2 linked regions of the Caenorhabditis elegans genome follow. The protein of the gene in region 2 interacts with the protein of the main gene of each other region in a pairwise test. Each region holds a gene or a part of one and is shown on either strand. Other genes may lie near its edges.

What was found.
Region 1: the proteins of ehs-1 (region 2) and T04C9.1 interact in a two-hybrid assay, tested with the Caenorhabditis elegans proteins (2 studies listed by BioGRID).

What each region holds. Positions count from the first base shown.
Region 1 is NC_003281.10:5,991,133-5,994,886, reverse strand, and holds the start of T04C9.1 (Rho GTPase-activating protein 26), read right to left. Parts: upstream 1,669-3,754; 5' UTR 1,614-1,668; coding exon 1,460-1,613; intron 1,383-1,459; coding exon 1,287-1,382; intron 702-1,286; coding exon 412-701; intron 3-411; coding exon 1-2. Other genes in the region: T04C9.2 (uncharacterized protein), read right to left, coding at 2,657-3,007.
Region 2 is NC_003280.10:5,818,562-5,822,315, forward strand, and holds the start of ehs-1 (Eps15 (endocytosis protein) Homologous Sequence), read left to right. Parts: upstream 1-2,150; 5' UTR 2,151-2,158; coding exon 2,159-2,221; intron 2,222-2,268; coding exon 2,269-2,449; intron 2,450-2,532; coding exon 2,533-2,645; intron 2,646-2,691; coding exon 2,692-2,823; intron 2,824-2,937; coding exon 2,938-3,647; intron 3,648-3,700; coding exon 3,701-3,754. Other genes in the region: ZK1248.4 (MSP domain-containing protein), read left to right, coding at 37-270.

The sequences.
Region 1 (3,754 bases), on a different chromosome or scaffold from region 2:
TACTGTAAATTTTTTTTATTTTTTATTTTTGAGAAATTATGTTGAATATACTTTTTAACTGAAAATAGCAATTTATATTGTACTATTTCCAACGGCAAATTCTTAAAAACTTGAATTACACTATTTAGAAAAACTAAAAACGAAAACTTTTGATTTTTTTAAATTCTGAAAAGGCAGAAAGTTTTTTTTTTTTTGAAAGAAATTTTAAATTCGCAATATTTCAGAAAAAAAATTTTTTTTGTTGATTTTTTTTAATTCGAAAAACCAAAATTCCTTCGATTTTCCAAAAAAAAATTTAGAAAGAAATTTTAGTCTAAAAATAGAAAATGGCCAAAATTTCATTAATTCTGAAAATTAAAACACAAATTTTTTCCAATTTTATAATTTGAAGACAACTTTATAAACTCAAACCTGTAACGAAGCTTGAAAAAAGTTTTTCTGTTGAGTCTCCAATTGGGCATCAGCGGCTCGAAAATCGTTATTACGAACAGTACTCAGATGAAGATGTTTTTCAAGTGTTTGATAGAACTTGCTACTTTCTTTGTCATATTTATTCTTTTCCTCTTTCAATGTTCTACCAATCGCCTCAGTTCGAAACTTTTTTATTGGTTCCAAATAACTTTCTTCAGCTTGTCCAACAAGTTTCATTCGTTCATCTTCGACTTGATTGATCAGACTTCCGAATTCTTTTAGACATGTGGCTGAAAATGTGAAATATTATTTCAAAGACAATAAAAATATTTATGAAAATTAAGCATTTTGGTAAATTACAATGAGAATCACTTGCAATTTGGATTTTGTTAACTTTCGATAGATTTTTTGGGAGAAAAAACTGAAACGAATTTTTTTATTGAAGGAAACTTATAAAAATTTCAAAATTTCACGAACAATTCAGATTTCGAAGGTCTTTGTTGGAATATTGAAATTCGAGACAATTAAAAAAATTTTAAAAGAGAGTTCAACACTATTTTTTTATTGTAAAAAATATGACTTTGAAAAATTTGGCAAAAATGAACGGTTGCTACGGCAAAATACTCTTTTTTGCTATTCCTAAAAATGTTTAAAATTTTTTTTTAACTATGGTAAATTAAAAAAAATTGAAATTTAATAATTTTAAAACATTTAAAAACATGTTTTCAGCAAATTTCGATTTTTCTTGGCTGGATAATAAAATTCCGAAATTAATTTTTTTACTGCGAAATTTTTTTAAAATAAAAATGTTTTGTACTTTTTTTTTTAACATCGCGTATTTTTTTATATAAATTTTTGCTAAACAAAAGTCTCACCAATAAACCGTTCATCATCTGTCTGATTTGTTCCGACTGTTTCAAACTTGAATTCACTTAACGTCTTTGCGAATGCTCGTTGTGCTGTTGAAAGCTCTGCAATAAAAATAATTATAAATTCCACGCGATTAAATGGAAAAGTAAAGGGTCAAAAAGAGAGAAAAGCCACATACTTTTTGTGCACGCAATCAGCTCCTTGCACTGATTCTCAATGAGCTTGATGTTCTTGAAAGCGTCGTCCAGTGCCACTTCGTGATCATGCAAATTTTGTCGAAACCACGGAGAATCGGATATCGAGTCCGAAAACTCGAGCGCCCGTAACACCATTTGTGATGAGCGCAGAGTCCTAAGTAGACGGGTTTTGTCTACTGGACAAGGTGTCCTGAAATTATTTTTGATTGGAATGATTTGCAGAGATTTTCAAGAGAAAAAGCCTCAGTGATAGGCAAACATAGAGAAATGAAAAGAAAAAATTGTCTCAAAATACCACAATTTTTTCTGAAACATGAAGGAAAAGATGAGTAGAATGAGGAGAAGAAGTAAACAATTAAAAGAAAAGGAAAGAAGAACTCGCGGGGGATATGGACAAGCGAAGAGAAGAAGAAGAAGAAAAAGAAGCAAGAAACTTGATACTTGAGGCGACGAAGGAATATCTATGAGTATCTATCTATCTGCTACATGAATTCTGACACTACCAATGGAATTAGCTGATGAACCGAGCAAGAATTGATATGGAAAATGAGAAAGGTAATCAGATAAATGAAATATAAAAAGAAAATCCATCACATCATAAATTAGAATAATTATGAAGCTGCCAAAATAAAACTTCCAAGTGTGACCTATTTTACGACAAAACATAGCGTACACCTTCACAACAAATTGTCTAATCGTGCGGGAATCAACGCACATCCGGAGGATTGAAGAGGTTGCAACAATCCTGACGATGACAGATAAGAATCAAACGGCAGTGCGTCCCTCCTACGTGTAATTCTTTCGTTACCTAACGATGCGTGAGCTTCGGTTTTGAGCAAGTTCGGGCACGTCGAAAACACGAAGGCAGCCGAGTGGAAACAATTTTCGAAGAGCCCCTAACCCGGCTCATAAAGAAGAGAAGCTGGAGGAGAGAAGATGCGAGAAAAGTAGTTGTTGCTTGTGCCTCAAAAAGAAAGAAACCGAAGATGACGATGTGGGTTCCAGAAGATGATAAGGATGGGGCTAATAATGATGATTAGGTAAAAAAGAACGGAAGTTTGAGACGAAATAGAGGAAAAGGAGAAGAGAAGTCATGGCTCGGATGAGGACGAAAAAAATGTTGGAGCGACCAACAAAAATAACCAAATTTGTATAGGAGCCGAAACAAAGTTATCGCGTTATTTGTGTTGTGGCCATGCTGTTGTGTGCCATCGCCAAAGAAGGAGAGGCAGAGGAGAAGGACGAGGACTCCAACACAATTCGTCATTTTTTCTAGCTTTTCTCATTTTTTCAAAGAAGAAGGCGACGACGACGACGACAGTGATGGCGTTTATGGATGGAAGGGATGACTCTTGCCGTCTGGAACTTGTCGATCCGATTCGAATCGAAAGGAAAGGCGGACGACGACAGCGGCAACGGGAAGCAGCAATGCGGAAAAGAACAATTCTCCGGGGGGAATGAGTATATATGGGAAGAACGAGCAGTAGAAGAATGAGCGAAGAGAAGGACTGCTTCTTCTTCTTCGTCATTTTCTTTGCTCCGCTCTCGTCATTGCAATGGCACAAATACATACACACACTTGCATCCGTCCTTTCGTCTTTAGAATATATCCTAAAACGAAACACTTGACAATATCAACGCTTTCTAGTTTTTCTCAAAAAATTCGAATCATAGAAACGAACGGATGAGTCGCGGCACGGCGAACGTCAGAATATTCGAGTGGTCGACGGAAAGCGATTATGAAGAGGAAAGAAAAACGACGACAGCGGCGACGGAGGAAGAAGTAGGGGAAGAAGAAGAAGTTGACGACGTCACAAGCGGAAGAGATGGGACCGCGAAAAATTGAAGAGAATGAAAAGCAGAAAAAGATAGAAAAAAGTAGTAACAAAGTTGAAACGAACGAGTCGGTTATTTCATTTTGTAGTGAAAGATCAGGTGTTTTTTGAATGATGCTGCGCGGGGAAAAATCAAAACCATTAGTGAAATGGAAGAAATCTCAACTAAGCCATCCTCGATTATGAAACATCTGCCAGAGACGATGGGACAACGACGTGAGGACCTTCATCAATCTACGTCACAAAGTGCGCGAGACCTGAAGATGAAGTGGTCCGATAAGATGAAAAAGAGTTGGGGAGCAGCAACAAAAATGCAATAGAAAAAACGTTTCATTTTCACACTGTCAAAGTCTTGTCACATGCCGTGCAGTTCGAAAAAAAAATAAAAAGATAAGAGGTGATAGAGACAAAGTACATTCAGGAAAAAGAGCTTATGCAGTT
Region 2 (3,754 bases):
AAAGTTCATTAAAAACGTCAAGACCAAACCACCAACATGAAGAGACTTGGAGTTGATCCACCATGTGGAGTTCTCGACCCAAAGGAAGCTGTGCTGTTGGCTGTTTCGTGTGATGCATTCGCATTTGGACAGGAAGACACCAACAACGACCGTATCACCGTCGAATGGACTAACACTCCGGATGGAGCTGCCAAGCAGTTCCGCCGCGAGTGGTTCCAGGGAGATGGTATGGTTCGCCGCAAGAATCTGCCAATCGAATACAACCCATAGGTTCCTTGTAAAATAAATATTGTTTAATGCCTGTGTTGTTTCTTTCTGTAAATTGAATATATATACACTTGTCGCTTATCCTCTAGATCAGCTGGCTTCGTCGCTTCGTTGTTTCTACAGATATTTCTTGCAAGAATCTTCCGATCGAATACAACCCATAGAACTTCTAAATAATTTTTTTCCTGATTCACTGGTTGCTGATTTTATAATTTGAAAAATAATATTGTCTACCATGTTTCCAAATTTCAAAATATGATATTGTGATATACGAACTTTCTTTGAATACTTTGTTACAGAACTTCCTCGCATGTATCATTTTGAGAAGAAGTTGTATGTTCGAGAGCCGTTTCTAGAGAACTAACAGAACGAATTTTTTAGATTTCAGAATTATCAACAAGATCATATGCAATGCCTTGAATTCATAGATAAGAGATGATGAAAGATGGAGCTGACTGCATTTGAAAGAACTTTCATTTTATCTATCTAACAATCTAACAATTATTAATAAACAATTATTCATTTTCATTGTTGTGTTTATCATTCGATTACTCGGAAAACATTTTTATTGCTCAAAATATATATTTTTCTAGCTAACTGGAGTAGTTTCAAAATTGCCATTCGGTTCAGGATAGGCGGTTTCAGGCTTACTTTTGTTTAATTAGTCCCAGGTCTTCGAAACTCAATGTTTTATTGTGTCCTGTGTTTCCCTTGATTTTCACTAAATTAATTCTGGGGACATGAGAAGGTAATCTTGGAAAATTGAAATAAACTACAGTACTCCTCAAAGACACGATTTTAAATTCAAAAAAATCAGTCGTGTCGAGACCCGGTACCGTATTTTGGGTGTTAAAATCGGAAAATTTCGCCAATGGGGATACGATAATTTGAGTTTTATATTCAAATTAGATGTATGATATAGGAAAACATTCCACTAACGGGTGTATTTGATTTATTTTGCTTGTATTTACAAATAATATATTTCGAATGCTCGCCTGTTTCTTGATATTGTCCTCGTGTTGTTCACGGCCGAAGTTTTTCACAATTATCAATAGAGCGCTTCTGAAAACTCGTCCGCGACAGTGAAAATTTTAATTTTCAGAATTAATTGTTTTTAATTTAACGATTTTAATTAATTCTCTCATTTACTGTTGCAAGATTTTTTAATGCTATCTGTTGAATATTTAATTTTATCACTATTTTCAATAATTACGATGTAGACGCTTTATTTGCAATATATATTGCAAACAATATTACAATATATATTGCAAACAATATTGCATTATACGCAGATTATTTTCTCCCGTTTTGACAGAATAAAATTAACTTGACAATGTGTGTGTAAACACAGTGACGACAAACTGCGACAATGAGTCATTCAGGTTTAGTCTTTTGCGAATTAGTTTATTTATAATAATTATATATTATAGGGTTATTGGGATATTTTTTTATCTCACCGTTAATGAAAAATGTTAAATATATTCCTGTTTCAAAAATTGGCTACAATTTAAATCAATATATTTGTTTTGTAATCATTATCATAGAGGGCCGGGACTCTTCCCACTGAAACTCAATACTTTTGCATATTTCACATTCTCTTCCTCCGTTGGTTCACCAAAAGAGAAAAGGGACCGACATGAAAAGGAAACGAAAGCTTAAAAGAGACGGAAAATCGATGTACTAGAGTGCTCGGAAGTAGTTGAGAGGCGCAGAGAGAGAGCTTTCATTCAGAAGACACACGACGTTATTCCTCGCAACGCCTTCTTCTTTTTAACAATCTTCAATACATTTTAGTGAACTTTCTTTTATTTCTGTTTCATTTAAAAATAGTCTTAAATTTCACTATATTTAATTTTTTTCTTTTATTATCTGGAATGTTTCAGCTTTCAACATGGATGATTCATACGCGATAGCTACACCGCACAATGATGTTTTTAATCACGCATTCGCAGAGGTAAATATTTAACAATTTGTAATACGTTAACAATTGTTATATTCCAGATGAACCCTCACGGAGCACCAAGAATAGGAGCTGCAGAAGCAGCTACTTTCCTTAAAAAATCAAACTTGGCGATGCCTGTGTTAGGCCAGATATGGGAGCTTAGCGACTCTCAAAAAGTTGGATCATTAGATAAGAGAGGAGCATTTGTTGCTTTTAAACTAGTCGCAGCTGCTCAACAAGGTAACTTTTATTACCTATTTGGAATCATATTTTGTTGAAAATACGATATGCTCAAAAGTAACCTTAACAGCAAAATATTTCAGGGAAGCCCGTCGCCAATTCTTCCCTCTACGATTCTTCCCTTCAGCCACCACGGTTTGCACCACCTGTACCACCAGCAAACATGCAGCATCATTTCCAACCATCGTTCCCATCGGTTTGACTGAAAAGTGGTTCCTCTATTTCTAAGTGTTATTATTCAGGTTGGCCGTGCTCCTCCAGTGCCACCACCACCACATCCATCACATCCTTATTCGATCTCTTCTCAACAATCTTCTCCAGCTCATCCATCGTCAGCTTTTCCACCACAATGGCCGATAACACCAACTGACCAGGTAGCAAAAACTGAGAATTAAAAACTTTTAAAAAATCTTTCTATTGGCACGAATAGAGAATTGACAGTTATTTTCCTTTACAGATTTGATCAAATATTCTTGTAATTATTTCAGGCTAAATATGACTCCATCTTCCAATCATTGAATCCTGTAAACGGAAAATTGTCTGGTGCACACGTACGCCCGGTTCTGATGAACTCTGGACTTGATGCTCATGCTCTGGCTCGAATTTGGGAACTTTCGGATCAGGACAAAGATGGAAACCTTGATCGAATCGAAATGTCTGTTGCACTTCATCTTGTATACCGATCACTTCAATCAGACCCGGTTCCTGCACAGCTCCCACCAAATCTCATTCATCCTTCGAAAGCAATGTATGCTCACAGCTCACCGAATTTCGCTGCTCCTCCACATCCTCCACGTCCGATGATGGGATCGAGAGCAGGATCTGTGACGTCATTGGATGATGTGAACATGAGTCAATCGTATTCTGCAACGATGCCACGTGCATATCCACCACAACCAGGTCGTGCTTACTCTGCACAGGCTCATGTGAATGGATCACGAACCAGTGGTGCATCAACTCCGATATCTGCTTCTCACTCGATTCACTCATTTCCTGCTGGTGAATGGCCTATCAATACAGGAGATTATGCTGATCAATTTGCTCAAACTGATACGAATAAGGATGGATTGGTTGATGGCATGGATATGAGAGCTCCCATGATGACTACTGGATTGAGTGCACAGATATTAGCACATGTCTGGGCATTAGCAGATATAAAAAAATGTGGACAGTTGAATTTGGAGCAATTTGCTTTGACGTAAGTCTTTCAAGTTTACCAAATATCTAGTGTAACTAAATATTAATTTTCAGAATGCATCTTCTTGACATGGCAAAACGAGGCGAGTCCATCCCATCAGAACTGCC